Mus musculus: one gene and its partner. The protein of the gene in region 1 purifies or fractionates together with the protein of each later gene. This does not show direct contact. Links are inferred from orthologs where the notes say so. Each region holds a gene or a part of one and is shown on either strand. Other genes may lie near its edges.

The links.
Region 2: the proteins of Ngfr (region 1) and Ndn purify together in Homo sapiens (affinity purification with western blotting; 3 studies listed by BioGRID). This does not show direct contact. The link is inferred for Mus musculus from reciprocal best matches to the Homo sapiens genes NGFR and NDN.

Annotation. Positions count from the first base shown.
Region 1 is NC_000077.6:95,568,570-95,575,667, reverse strand, and holds the end of Ngfr (tumor necrosis factor receptor superfamily member 16 precursor), read left to right. Parts: intron 1-1,224; coding exon 1,225-1,477; intron 1,478-3,687; coding exon 3,688-3,848; intron 3,849-4,572; coding exon 4,573-4,865; 3' UTR 4,866-6,850; downstream 6,851-7,098. UniProt on the Homo sapiens protein: Low affinity receptor which can bind to NGF, BDNF, NTF3, and NTF4. Forms a heterodimeric receptor with SORCS2 that binds the precursor forms of NGF, BDNF and NTF3 with high affinity, and has much lower affinity for mature NGF and BDNF.
Region 2 is NC_000073.6:62,345,553-62,352,674, reverse strand, and holds Ndn (necdin), read right to left. Parts: upstream 4,399-7,122; 5' UTR 4,268-4,398; coding exon 3,290-4,267; 3' UTR 2,747-3,289; downstream 1-2,746. UniProt on the Homo sapiens protein: Growth suppressor that facilitates the entry of the cell into cell cycle arrest.

The sequences.
Region 1 (7,098 bases):
GGGGTGGGGTGGGACTGGGCAGCAGATGGCAACCTTCCCCACACTGCCAGTCAAATGGATTCCAGACTCACATCTGGGGTCCTTACCCCTCAGAAGGTGCTGAAAATGGGGCCTTTGAAGCATCTCTGTCCCGAGCCAGGGAGACCCAGAGGACTAGTGGGCAGCTTTAACTCCAGCTTGGGTGGGCACACTGTAGACTGGGCGGGGCAGAGCTGGGTAGCAAAGTGTCCTCCCCTTAACCTTACAAGCATACCCTGTCTGCTTTCCCTCCCTGTTTTCCCTGCGTGGGAAGTGAGAATGGATAGGACAGGCTGCTTTGCCCAGACAAGTATCCCCCAGGCCACCATCCAGAGCCTACAACCCCTAGCCCTGCCTCTGGCTGGGTGGCAGAATGGAAAATCCCACCCACTAGTGCCAAGAGGGGCTGGAGCCTCTGCCAGGAAGGCTGGCAATGTCCAAATGGCATGAGCGGGCCTAGATGGGTGGCCAAGCACAGAATTGCTCCTTCTGAGGCAGGGTCTAGTTCGTAGGCCCTCCCTCCGCCAGCTGTCTGCTTCCTGCTAACGAGGGTGCCAGCTGTCTAACCCACTCTTCTCTAGATGCCAGGGCTAGGCTGTTTTGGGAGTGGGGGGTGTCAGGCGTTACAAGAAACATGCTGGCCACTGTTCAAGGACTGGCTGGGGGTGAAGTAAGCCAGTTATACATCTAGTGCCAGCCTAGGCCTGGAGCATCTGAGACAGGAAGGGGCTGAGTGCCACCTGCCGGGCAGCATCTCTGATCAGGCCTCTGATCAGCTCTAAGTGCCCTATCCTTCCTGAAGGCTGTGGTCACTAAGTCAGAGCAATTCCATTCCTCAAAGCAATTAAGTCATTGCTCCAGCTTAAAGATGCTCTACAGCATGCAGGCTTCTTGGTGTTCATGCGTGGCTGCTGGCAGACACTAGAATCCTGGTTCTGCAGCCTAAGCCAAAAAGTTGTTTAAAGACCATTTCTTTTCAGAAAGCCCATTCTCTAGATGGGGAAGTCGAGGCCCCATACTGATAGAAGTCTCCTGTCATACAGCTCTTGCTCTTCTTTTCTAAACTGCATGTGCACAGTCCCAGCTTCCACCCCCATGCGTAACAGCCTGGCCCTGTGTGCCTGGAGGCTCATGATGAAGCCCTGGAAAGCTGGAGCTAAGGGGAAGGCCTGGGTAGGTCCTAACTCCTGTGGCCCTGTTCCTCAGAGATCCCTGGCCGATGGATCACAAGGTCTACGCCCCCGGAGGGCTCTGACGTCACAACACCCAGCACCCAGGAGCCGGAGGCACCTCCAGAGCGAGACCTCATAGCCAGCACAGTGGCCGATACGGTGACCACTGTGATGGGCAGCTCCCAGCCTGTAGTGACCCGAGGCACCGCTGACAACCTCATTCCTGTCTATTGCTCCATCTTGGCTGCTGTGGTTGTGGGCCTTGTGGCCTATATTGCTTTCAAGAGGTAAGAGGGGGCACACTGAGGATGACATAGGAGATGTTTGCTCCGACCTTGACCTGGAAACATACATACCCTTAATTCAACCCTAAATTCATCCTCCAACACTATCTCATGCCCTCTGGGGTGTATCCGTGTGTGTATGTGTGTGTGTGCTCATATTAGTGTGTGTGTATGTGTGTATGGTGTGTGTATGTGTGTATGGTGTGTGTGTGCTCATATAGTGTGTGTGTATGTGTGTATGGTGTGTGTGTGCTCATATAGTGTGTGTGTATGTGTATGGTGTGTGTGTGTATGTATGTGTGTATGTGTATGGTGTGTGTGTGTGTGTATATATGTGGTATGTGAGAGTGTCTATGTGGTGTGTGTGTGGTGTATGTGCTTGCATAATGTGTGTGTATGTGTGGTATATGTGTGGTGTGCATGTGTATAGTGTATGAGTGTGTGTGTGTGTGGTGTGTGTGTGTGTGTGTGTGTGTGTGGTGTGTGTGTGGTGTGTCCATGTGGTGTATGTGGTGTGTGTGTTTGTGTGTGTGTGTGTGTGTGTGTGTGGTGTATGAGTGTGTGTGGTGTGTTTGTATATAGTATGTGAGTATATGTGTGTGTGTATATATATATATATATATATATACATATATATACATATACACATATATATACACACACACACACATATGGGGGGTGAGTGTGTGTGGTGTGTATGTGTGTGGTATGTGTGGGAGTATCTGTGTGTGCGTGTGGTATGTGTGTTTGTGTGCGTGTGTATGTGTACAGTATGTGGGGAAGTGTGTATGGGAGTGTGTGTGGTGTGTATGTGTGGGAGTGTATGTGTGTTATTACATGGTTTTCTTTTCTGTCCTGGCTCCAGCTCTTCCCTACTCCCAAGCTGCTCCTCCTGTTCCTTAGTCCCTGCCACCTCCTCTGGCTACTTGCATCCCTGCCCTCAGTCACACTCACCCCACGGTTCCTGGTTCTGCATGTGTCTCTTCTCTTCCTAAGTCACCCTTGCTTTCCTGTCACTCCCAAACTCCCTTGTTACCCTTGGGCTCCTGTGGGACCCACATCAAGGAATTCAAGACAGAAGAACTCGCAGAAGGCATTTTCAGCTTTGAGTGTGCGTCCCATTCCGTTTTTCTTTTCTTCTTTCTTTCTTTTCTTTTCCTTTGGTATTTTGTTTTTAAATCATCAAAGTGATCCATGCTTTTTAAAAGCAAATGCAAACAAGACTGAATTTGTTTTGCGGTGCTGAGGAATGGAACCCAGATCTTTGAACATGCCAAGCCTGCTTACTACCACTGAGCAATAGCTCCAGTCCCAAGACTTCTAAACAGCTTCCAACGCAAAAAGCAAAAGCCTCGCTTTATCTCCTCAAATCCTGCACATCTTGTGGGAAATCTCTTTGGGATAACACTTTCTAAGCTGTTTAGAGTGCATATATATACACACACACATACATACACACACACGTTATATGCATATATACATACACATATACCCACACATGAATGTTTTATAATTACATGTAGACATGAAGAACTTTTCTGACGATTCGGTGGGAACACACCATTCACCGTCTACAATGTACTCTTCCCTCTTACTCCCCCTCAGGAGAGCTTTCCTCAGAACACAGATTATCTGATCATTTACAGCCTCTCATTCAACAGCACCAGACATGGGCTGTAATGTGCTTAGCCAGTCCGCTCTTGATGGACACTTATCTTCAGAGTTTTTGTTGCTGCTGCTGCTTATGTTTGCCAAGGAAATCTGTGTGTGTGTATGCGCATGTGTGTGTGTGTGTGTGTGTGTGTAAGTGAGTGTGTGATTGCTGCTCACATATGGGAGTATTTTAGTAGGGAGAAATGGAATTTCTAGGAAGTCATTTATTTGTGTAGTTGGTTCTGTGAACATTTACTGAATGTTTACCAAGTTCCTCCACCCTTGCAGAGCTTTCAGAGTGTGTGTGTGTGTGTGTGTGTGTGTGTGTGTGTGTGTGTGTGTTTATGCACCCGCACGAGTGTACCTACGCACCCACCTGCAGAAATGAGCATCTTATCGCCTCTCAGCCTTTTGGATAAGATCATATACAGAAATAAGCTCCTTAGACCCTTTGGGGACATTGCCACACTCCCAGCCTCAGTCGGCAGCACAGCTACGTTGGCTGCACTGATAGAATCCTCACCCCAAGCCCTGGCCTATCCCCTGTCCCTGGGCTGCAGATGGAACAGCTGCAAGCAAAATAAACAAGGAGCCAACAGCCGGCCGGTGAACCAGACACCCCCACCAGAGGGAGAGAAACTGCACAGCGACAGCGGCATCTCTGTGGACAGCCAGAGCCTGCACGACCAGCAGACCCACACACAGACTGCCTCAGGCCAAGGTGAGTGAGAAGCCAAAAGACTGAGGGTGCAGTTATGATTAGACTCCAGGAGGGACCGGCAGGTACCAGGGTAGGAGAGGCTAAGTCGGGTGGGAGACATAGGAAAGGGGAAGGTTTTTGTTTTTTATTTTTGTTGTTGTTTTGCATTTTTTGTTTTTTCTCCTGGGATGACTTGGGAAATGCAGGCTTTTATAAGTTGGAGCATCCAGACTCATCAGGCTAATTGCCCCCCCCTGCCCCGGGGGGTTAATTACTGCCCAAAGTGGCTGCAATTAGCCTCCTGCCCTGGACTTCTAGGAAACAAGTGCTTAAGTGTGTACCTTAATTAGCGGCCCAGAGCCAGGCTCTAGGACACTTGCTGCAGTTGTCTGGAGCTGGATTGCCCTGTCCCCTCCCCCTTCGCCTTGATGATTGCTGGGGGGAGGGGACACGCGTGGAAAGGATGGTGCCAGCACCGAGGGTGTAGGGAGAACAGTGAGTCAGCAGGACCCAGGTCCCTCCCACCCAGGCCTCATCTAGGACCTCATCTTGGCTATCTCTCCGCCTCTAACTCTAGACTTGGAGGAACGTGCCTTGGCCCTTCTGGGGTCTTGGCCCAAGCTTCTAGGCTCACGGAAGGAACCAGGGCTCAGGGTTAGAGAACACGGAAGTGAGGGCTCAGGGTTAGGGAACATGGAAGGAGAGAGGGCTCAGGTTAGGAACTGACACCCCTTGTTCTCTGCAGCCCTCAAGGGTGATGGCAACCTCTACAGTAGCCTGCCCCTGACCAAGCGTGAGGAGGTCGAGAAGCTGCTCAATGGTGACACCTGGCGACATCTGGCAGGCGAGCTGGGCTACCAGCCGGAGCATATAGACTCCTTTACCCACGAGGCCTGCCCAGTCCGAGCCCTGCTGGCCAGCTGGGGTGCCCAGGACAGCGCGACGCTCGATGCCCTTTTAGCCGCCCTGCGACGCATCCAGAGAGCTGACATTGTGGAGAGCCTGTGCAGCGAGTCCACTGCCACGTCCCCTGTGTGAGCTCACCGACTGGGAGCCCCTGTCCTGTCCCACATTCCGACCGCTGATGTTCTAGCCCCCACAGAGCCGCCCCCCTCTCCCTTGGGGTGGCCCAACAGTCAGAACCGAGCATCTCTGTGTAGGGCCTCTGTGTCCCGCTCCCCAAACCACAGCCCTGTTGCTGCTCCTGAGGGGACCTTTGCTTCTGACCACACTCTCTCTCCGGCGAGAGATAGGACCACCCCAAGCCTGTCTTGCCCCGTGACCATCTCAGGCCTTTCCTTTCTTTCTACACATTAACTGTGTCAGATCTAGGGGTCTGACACTAGAGAAGGTAACAGGGGCACCCCTAAGACTCAGGGGGTACTAATGAACCAGAGCCATGGACTCCACACTGTGAACTGGAGAACAGGGGGGGCATTGTGGTAGGCCAGACCTTCCTCAACCCCTCCCTTCTCCCATCTGGCCAAAGATGAAGAGGATTACAGGCCTATCTGAGCTGAAAGCAGGTTTGGAGCCCAGTCCACACTCCTTCTCTTACACATAGGATGGTAAAGCCCAGAGAGGCAGGGACTAACCTAGGCCACCCAACAACAGGGAGATCAATTGTAGGCTGACACACTCCTTTCTGAATGAGGGCGTCAAGTGCTTGTTGGCAGGGATGGAGTGACTTTCAGGGAAACATCTGGAAACGACGTCTGCCCCGCCCTCAACCACTTCCAGGCCCCTACCCAACCCTTGTGCAGATGAACTGTCTGTTCAAAACCTGGTCCATTGGCCTGTTCTGATGGAGTCGGGCTAATGTCCTGGGGAGTGGGGTGCTGCCTTCCTCTGTCTGTCAGGCTTAGCCACAGGGCATTTGTGGAGGGATGAATCTGTTAGCACCCTCATTCGTGTCATAAGCCTGAAGCCAACAGTGGCCCTTGGAGTCAACCCTAGGGGTCAGGGACCAAGGACCCACCCCATAATCCAACACCACACACACACACACACACACACACACACACAGAGAGAGAGAGAGAGAGAGAGAGAGAGAGAGAGAGAGAGAGAGATCATGCTTTTCCCCCCATGGCTCTTTTTGGGCTGAGACCAGATCCTGCTGGAAGTCGCTGGCTGCCAGAGAAAGATGGAAGGGGACCGAGATGAGCTTCGTGGGGCTGTCTTCCTCACCTCCCGGCTCTGGCAGGCCAAGAACTGCTGCATCTGAGCTGGCGTGCGTGCGTCCGTCCCTGTCCGTCGGTCTCCAATGGCCTGTGTGTGGAGGAATGCTCACACCGCTCCCTCTCCTCCCCTTCTTGAAGCCCAACTTTGGCTGCACCCAGAAAACAGTGAAGAAAAGCAGGCTGCTGTGAGAACACAAGAAAATGCAGATGCTGGCCCGCAGTCTGAGGCAACTTTCTCCTCAGTTTCATGGCCCCTGCAAAGGACCAATTTCCTGGGCATGGCCAGGAAGGGACCCGAGTGCTCATTGGCCGGCGCTTTCACCTGGCTCCTTGGCCTGTTCTGTTTTGCTTGCTGTTGGAATGAGTGGGCTCCCCCTCTATTTAGCATGAAGGAGCCCCAGGCAGGGTATGCACAGACTGACTGCCATCCCTCCCCACCCAGGGTCCACCCAGCCCTGTAAGGAGACAAGGAGCCTTGTGCTCGGTGGTATTTTTATGGACCTCGATCTGCAATTAGTAGAAGGACCCCACCGGCTGGCCCTCCCCGGACACCTGGGAAGTGGGACATTCTTTGTGTATTTATTTTCCTCCCCCAGAAGCTGGGGGTGGGTGGGTGGGGGAGGAGCTGCAGGACCAGTTTAGCATGTGTTTGGTTCTGGGGGTCTCTCCAGCCTTATTTTGGGTCAAGATGGAACCTCTGGCCCTCCAGCTGGCGACTATGAGATCCAGACCTCTTCATGTTCCCTGACACTTCCCCTTTGCATCCTGTGTAATCATTTCTTGGGCCCTCCCAAAACCTACACATAAAACATACGTGATGACCATTAAATAGCAAAAAAAAAAGAAAACGATGCCAAGAGAATTTTTTTTCTGGAAATAACCACGTTTTGTTAGTTGGGATTAAATGCAGAAATCATCGACCCTTCCCCCCGAAACCCTTAACCTTTATAACTTCCAACTGTCCATTTTTCTAGAAGTTTTGACCAGAATCTAGCAACTTCTCGTATGCAGTCAAGAAGTGGGTGGGGGGAAAGAACGGGGTGAGGAGGCCTTTGCTCCCAGATCTCAGAGAGGGAAAGTGAAAAACTGCC
Region 2 (7,122 bases), on another chromosome or scaffold:
CCTCCTTTGGATGTTCCCTTCTTTCTGATTGTACTGTCCTATTCTGATGTGCTAGTTTTTGTTTTATCTTACTATATTATATCATTATCTCATAGAAGCCCGTTTGATTTTTAGTGAGAGACAGAAACTGGGTGAATCGGGGAGGATGAGGAGGTGGGTGGAGCTGGGATGAGCAGAGGGAGGGAGAAATGTGATCAGGATATATTATATTAGAAAAATAAAATTTAAATGAGAGGAAAAAAGAGCAAAGAATGCTCCATTTATTTTCCAAGAACATCCATGGGACAGGCCCATAGTAAAGAGACTTTAGTTACATGATGGGCAGTTTTCAGATATGACTCTGCCTTCATGTATCTAACAATTCACAAGAGTTTAACAAAGTGCACTTATTTATAAATGCCATATGTATTCTGAGTGGGCATTTAAATATGGATGCTATAAACAGTACCTGGTAGGGCTTCCTATGTTGGTTATGCAATATTATGGTAGTGGTAAGAATACTAGGATATATAGGAAAGATATAACTTTACTGGTTCATTTTAAATAACCATTTCTTATTTAATCATAACTCAGAACCATATTTTTCTCTGAGGTCAGCTTAAAGTAGATATTATAGTTTATATTTAAACTCTAGAGGCTCTCTCCACCTTAGGTGACTTTAAAAATGAAGTCAATTAAAGTGAAAAATGTGAAATAACAGAAAATATTAATGTGAGATAGCTGGGAGTAACTGGATGGAGGAAAGGGATTAGGGAGTGATGTAATTCTATTTCAATTAAACATATTAACATAAAGTAAATTTTAATTGAAAAATAAAAATTAAAAGGAACAAATAGTTCTGAGCTATAAGAGTAAAATATCAAGGTAAAAATGAAGTTACTGTTGGTAGATAAAAATAATCAGGGAAATCTCTCCCAGGTAGAGTATCAAATCATCATAGCTATGGACTCACAAACTGAGTCTGCTAAATGTTTCCTGATTGGTCTATTTAAGCATCTTTTCCAAAATACTTGGTGTACTCTCCTATTTTTTTTTAATTTTTAGGCCAATATGAAAATATAAGAAAGTTATTGAGTAATTCCCCCCTTTGTCCGCAGGTTGTGGTGTCTACTGAACCAGACACCATGAATTAAACCCTCCATATCTGCAAAGCTTCCTCCTCTATGGCAAGCTGTCTCCAAGACAACGCAGTTGGAGAGCAGCCCTGCTCTTGGGCCTGTCAGTAATCAGCGCCTTGTTTCTCACTCTCCTATTCCTCAGCGAATGCTTGGCCGGGATGCCAGTGTCAGTGATCTCGAATCTGTTTTACGTAGGTCTGCAAAACTGCAATCTGCAGAACAGACTTTGCCAAGCAGATCCATGCAAAGCAGATTCAATATTCTTACAGCAGAAAAACCCTAAACGTCTTAAATAGGTGTGCCAGCTAGCATCAGCTCTTTATGAAGTCTGCTGAAAGCCGGGTCACTCACATTGGGGTTACAGTCAGTATCTTCCCACTTTCCATTCTCACTCCAGTGAAAGACTATGGGCACAACTAAATATGATGAGTTCCGTTTTAACAGACACATGGATTATAAGCCTTTTAATTCCCTGCATTACAAGCTAGGTAATGCCACTAAATGTCGGCAGTTCTGCACGTCAACACACTGGTTGCATCTCTTTCATATTAATAGGACTCCTCGTTTACTCTTTACTCGGTATGGTGTGACAGGTATCTCCCCTTATTCACCTTTCCCAGGGGGGAAATTACTTTTTAGCTTTTACTAAATGACTTTTACCACAAATTCTAAAGGATTTCTAATCTCATTAAAGCCTCGTGTCTCTCTTTCTCCCCAGACCAAAAGCTTTCTAAGGAGATTTTTACCCCAGTTGTTGCTGTTTACAGTGATTCTCATCCCATTTCACCCTCTCTTCACCTACTGCCCACTGCAACATACTGACTGCTGAGTGGCAAATGTGACTATGCTTCTGGGGGCAGCTCCTTAATCCCAACCCCTCCTCTATTTCATTAGTGCCATGGCTCTTACTGGTACGACTGTCAGAATAGTTTCGCTCATCTTCATCCTTCTGGAAAGATGAAATTTCAGATCTTGTTTTTACCCCTTAGCAAGATAAGGACTTGATTAGGTCATCAATTCTTTCTGAAACGAGTTTCCTAATTTGTACATTCAGAAGCTAATTTTCTGTGAAACTCTTGGAATTAATTAGAAAAATCAAACCCTTAATGCATACAGCAGGGAGGCCAGAGTGCGTGTGTGAGTGGTGGCCATGGGGAGCTTGGTGTCAAGACTCCTGTATAAAGGTTTTAGGATAGTTCATTACCAACACCCCTTTTATTTTTTCTTGCTCTGTGATGATACAGTTATTCCTTACTTCTTATGGCTGGTGGGAGGACAAAATAAAGAAGAAAATGCATGATAAGGGTTTATTCTGCTAAAGTGTCCATCAAAGACTATTTTAAAAAATGCAACAGAAAAGGGGCAGGCCCTCCATATACCTGTTATTATCCCCATGTTATGTGATAATGAGCTTTTTTGTTGTTGTTGTTATACCTTTTATGTGACAAATTGATTAAAGCACTGCAAGTTTCTTCTGAGTGGTCGTGTGGTCTCCCACTGTGTTAGGACACCGTGTTTGCTTATGCTGCACACAGGGAGAATCTTTCTCATCCCCACCCATTCCCACTCCCCCTTTCATCAAAAATAAATGCCTCCTCCCCCCCCCCAAGAAATTATTTCACAGTATCTTTAATGCTCATTTTAACGTTTATTTATGGTGGGGTTGCATACATGTTTTGTAAAGGGTGCTAAGTGCCTACACTGAGAACAGTCCAGTTCAAATCAGTCCATTCCACATGGATGCTTCCTGTGCCAGTTGAAGTCATATGGAGAAAGGCCTTGACCTTTCTCTTGCTCAGGTCTGCGTTGCTGTTAAGTCCTGCTAACTCTCCAGGGCCTTCTTTGTCGATACAGATCATCAGTCCCATACAAAGAACAAGATACAGAACACCTCAATGTATTTCACAAGTTTAGCACAGCACATCTCTTGTACAAAAATGCACGAAAGCACAAAAGTGAAAGTACCAAATACTTATCACACATGCATCAATCTTAAACACTACACGAGTACACAAATGAATAGCATTACAAGGTACAAAAGCACTGTATGGAAAACTTAAAAATTATACATGAAATACTGCACTGTGGATTTGGGATACTCTAATGACTCAACCCCACCCTTACACAGCCCTAGTATGGGTCAGAAACTATCAGTGTGCCCCTGGACCTTTTTAGTCCTCAGAGACACTGCTGCGGGGGGCCTGGGCAGCAAGATTAGCCTCCCGCAGAGCTCTGGCCTGCTCCAGAGCCTCCCTGTATCGGGAAGGCCACGCCTGGGGATCTTTCTTGAAGACTCTGGCCAGGAACTCCATGATCTGCATCTTGGTGATTTCACGGTTAGCTCTGGACCCCCAGAAGAACTCGTACTCGGGAGGCTCGATGTGGGGCACACGCTGGTACTTCAGGTAATTCTGCTGGACGAACTCCTCGGTGATTATCTTCCTCACGTCTCCGAAGGTGGAGTGCTTCTTCCAGGGCCTCAGCCCCAGGATGCGCAGCACATTCCAGACCGCACCCTCTCTGGCCCCGCGGCCCTTCACATAGATGAGGCTCAGGATCATGAGCAGGAGGCCTGTCATGGGCATACGGTTGTTGAGCGCCACCCTGTCTAGCTCCTCTGGGCTGAGGGCTTTGACCAGGGCAAACTCCATGGTGTGGAGATTGGTCAGCCTCAGGTGCAGCCCGAACACTCTGGCGAGGATGACGCTGGTGCGCCTGAGGATGCTTCTGCACCATTTCTTGTAGCTGCCCATGACCTCTTTCACCATGTCTGGAAACCAGAGGACCATCCTCTTCTGGTCCTTCACCAACACGTACCACATGAGCTCGTGCGCCTTCTGCACCAGCTGGGCAGGGGCTGGCGGTGCTGGGATCGGCCGGGCTGGACTCTGGGGCTGGTGGGCGCGGCCCTCCTCTGCGGCCTGCTGCAGGATTTTAGGGTCAACATCTTCTATCCGTTCTTCGGGCGGTGGCGAGGCCTGTTGGGCTGCCATAGGGCCTTCGGGAGCGCACGGTGGCCCTGCGAGGTTAGCGGCCAGAGAAGCGGGAGGAGGGATCCCCACCGGAACGGCATCGCTGTCCTGCATCTCACAGTCGGGGACCTCGGCTGCAAAGTTAGGGTCGCTCAGGTCCTTACTTTGTTCCGACATGTCTGCGCCTTCGGATCAGAGCAGGACCGATGCGGCTTGGAGCTCTTGGAGCGGGCACTCCCTCGGTGGAGACCAGCAGAGGAAGTGCGCTTTACTGAGCACTGCGCCTTCCGCAGCAGCGGGCGGGCGGGGCTGATGCGATATTGCGCATGCGTGTTGGGAAGCCAGAAGGGTGGTAGGGCTGGAAAGGAGCGAAGCAGCAAAGCCCAACCACTGGGGTCTAAGGGAGGGTACCACTAGGCTTATGTAAAAGATTTCCTGGTCTCCTGTATGGCACAGAACTAGATGATGGTAGGGAAAGAAACAAGTTGAAGGAGAAAGATGTAGCTGAGATGGTGAAGTTAAGTTCGGACACACTGAGTTTGTGCAAAATCAAATTAAATGTGAAGGTCCTGGAGAAAGACTTAATTCTTGATTTTGGTTTTTCTACAAAAGAATAAGAGAAACAGAAATGACTTTTTTTTCTTTTTTCTTTTGGAAAGCTGTACCTTATGATGATGATGAGTTGTTTAAGATTGGAATATTGAGAAATTATTAATAGAGATAAATTCTTACATATCTGAATGCAGATCAAACAAGGAAGAATGTAAAGTGTAGTTACAGACACTGGAGATAAATCCATGTGAGATTTGAATGTTCTAGAAGTAGTAGATTCATATAGCATAATTGATGGGAGTTTAAAATTTTAATTAAAATGAGACTTGGTTCAGTGGTTAAGAGCTTTTGCAGTTCAAGCATGAGAACCAGAATTTAAATCCCCCAGGCCCCACATGAAAATGAGGGATATATAAAATATATATATATGCATTCATTCATCATTGGATGCTCAGTTTGTTGGTTTTGAATTATTTTAATAACTATAGATTTGGGCTCTCCATTTCTATTAGGTCACTTTGTTTTCATCTAAAGCTTCCGTTAAGATTCTAGTGGAAAATGATCAACATATTTATTAATACACATTTTATGACAGTGTATTTTTCATATTTTCCCACTACCTTTTTGCCCTGCTCACTGCATCTTCTGCGTTTATAAGAAATCTTCTACTTCTTAAATTATGTCATTCACAAATGACTAATTCCATGTTGGGAGCACATCCAAATCTTTCCCAATATATTTTAAATGCAGCTCTTTTCGATACCTAACAGTCTCTCATGAATAAGATGCAACATATTGGTGTCCAAAAATAAAAAGGTAGATCGAGAGGTCATCTAAAGCTGATATTTCCTCAAACTCTCCTTTATACAATGACCATTGTTGAAGCTTCCAAAGCCAGAAGTCCTTAGATTTGATCATCTTTCTTGTTCTGAAATAATGGAATTCCTTAGCCCTTCTCATCACTTAAAGCGGACAGATTTAAGATATCATGTTGGCATTCCTAGGTTCTAAAATATGTTTGTTTAGATATAACAGCTATCTTTTACCCAGAATAGTTATGGCAAGAAGCGATTCAGAGTTTTCCAGATTTGAGAATATTTGCACATGTACAATAACTTGTTTTAAACTCCAGCCTAGACGTGTTATTAGTTTGCTTCTTATTGACATTTTTGAAGGCAACACTTTCTCTCAGTTGTGATCTACTCCGCGAGCTCTGATGTGGAATTTTTCACTTGTGACATCCTGCATATCCTGGAAAAAGTTTCAGATTGTATATATTTGAGATTTTATGTGTTTGGGCTAAAAGTGCTCTAGTTCTCTGATGCTCATTAATTGGAACTGTTTTTCTGCAAGTGGGTTGAGTTTGAAGAATTTTCTGCACTAGATCACTATGTTTATATATACAGTGTATTTACCATCTTGTACTCAATGGATTCATGAAAACAAGTCACAAGTATGGGGCTGACAATCTTGAAGTTGTTTTTTGTTCAGGGAGGATACCAGAGATGGGACCAGAGAGCTACCTGGGCATCAGCTACTGAATAAGATGAGCTATATAGTTGAATTCCTAGCTGGAACTCAAGCTGAAGAAGCTGTTAGCATGATAGTAGGCAGAACCCCTACTGAAGCTCACTAGACACATTCCTACAGATAAGAAAGTTGCTTAATGCTGAACCAGAGACTATAGATTAGGACCACACTCATAGATAGTGCTTCAAGAATTCAAGCCACGGAATTAATGTTCAACTTAAAAGGAGCCCAGTATAAACTGTGGTGCTGCTTAACCTCAGAGATCCAAAGCACCCCTACAGATAATGGTTTCATCTATTCAAAGAAATCCTTCTGAAGAAGATCAACACACTATTATAGAGAGAAGGAAGAGAATTTGGGATAATGTTTAATCACAGAGCACAGACTTTAAGCAGAGAGCACATTTAGCATGAAAGCTTGGGAGTTGATAGCTACACAATATATTGCTTACTCCTATAGAGACTGGACAGACATTACATAAAAAGGAATGAAAGGGAAGTAACATTAAGTAAAGGAAAATAAACCAGTACTGGGGTGTTGTCCATGACTACTCTAAATCCAAGGGATATTGGGACTAGAGTTCTAAGAATGTTGGGAATAATTTAGACTTGGGGGTTATCTTTACATTCAGTTTAAGAGGAGATAGAAAATAAGATACTACACTAGAATTTAAGACGAAAATGCAGGAAACTTACATTAATGGCTCCCAGAAAAGATTCAAGAAGAGATTCAGAAATAGAAAATGGAGACATTATGTCTTCAGATCTTTTGGAAAGGACATTTTTTTCCAATGGGTTTCCTCAGACTGTAATATGGAACAGATTATACAGCTGTGGAATAGGCTGTTCTTGGCAGACTCCTCTGAAGAGGCCTCTTCTGGCACTGGCTTCCATAGAGAGCTGAGGAAGGAGGGGTCATCCTGGAGCCTCCTGAGGATACTACACATGCTC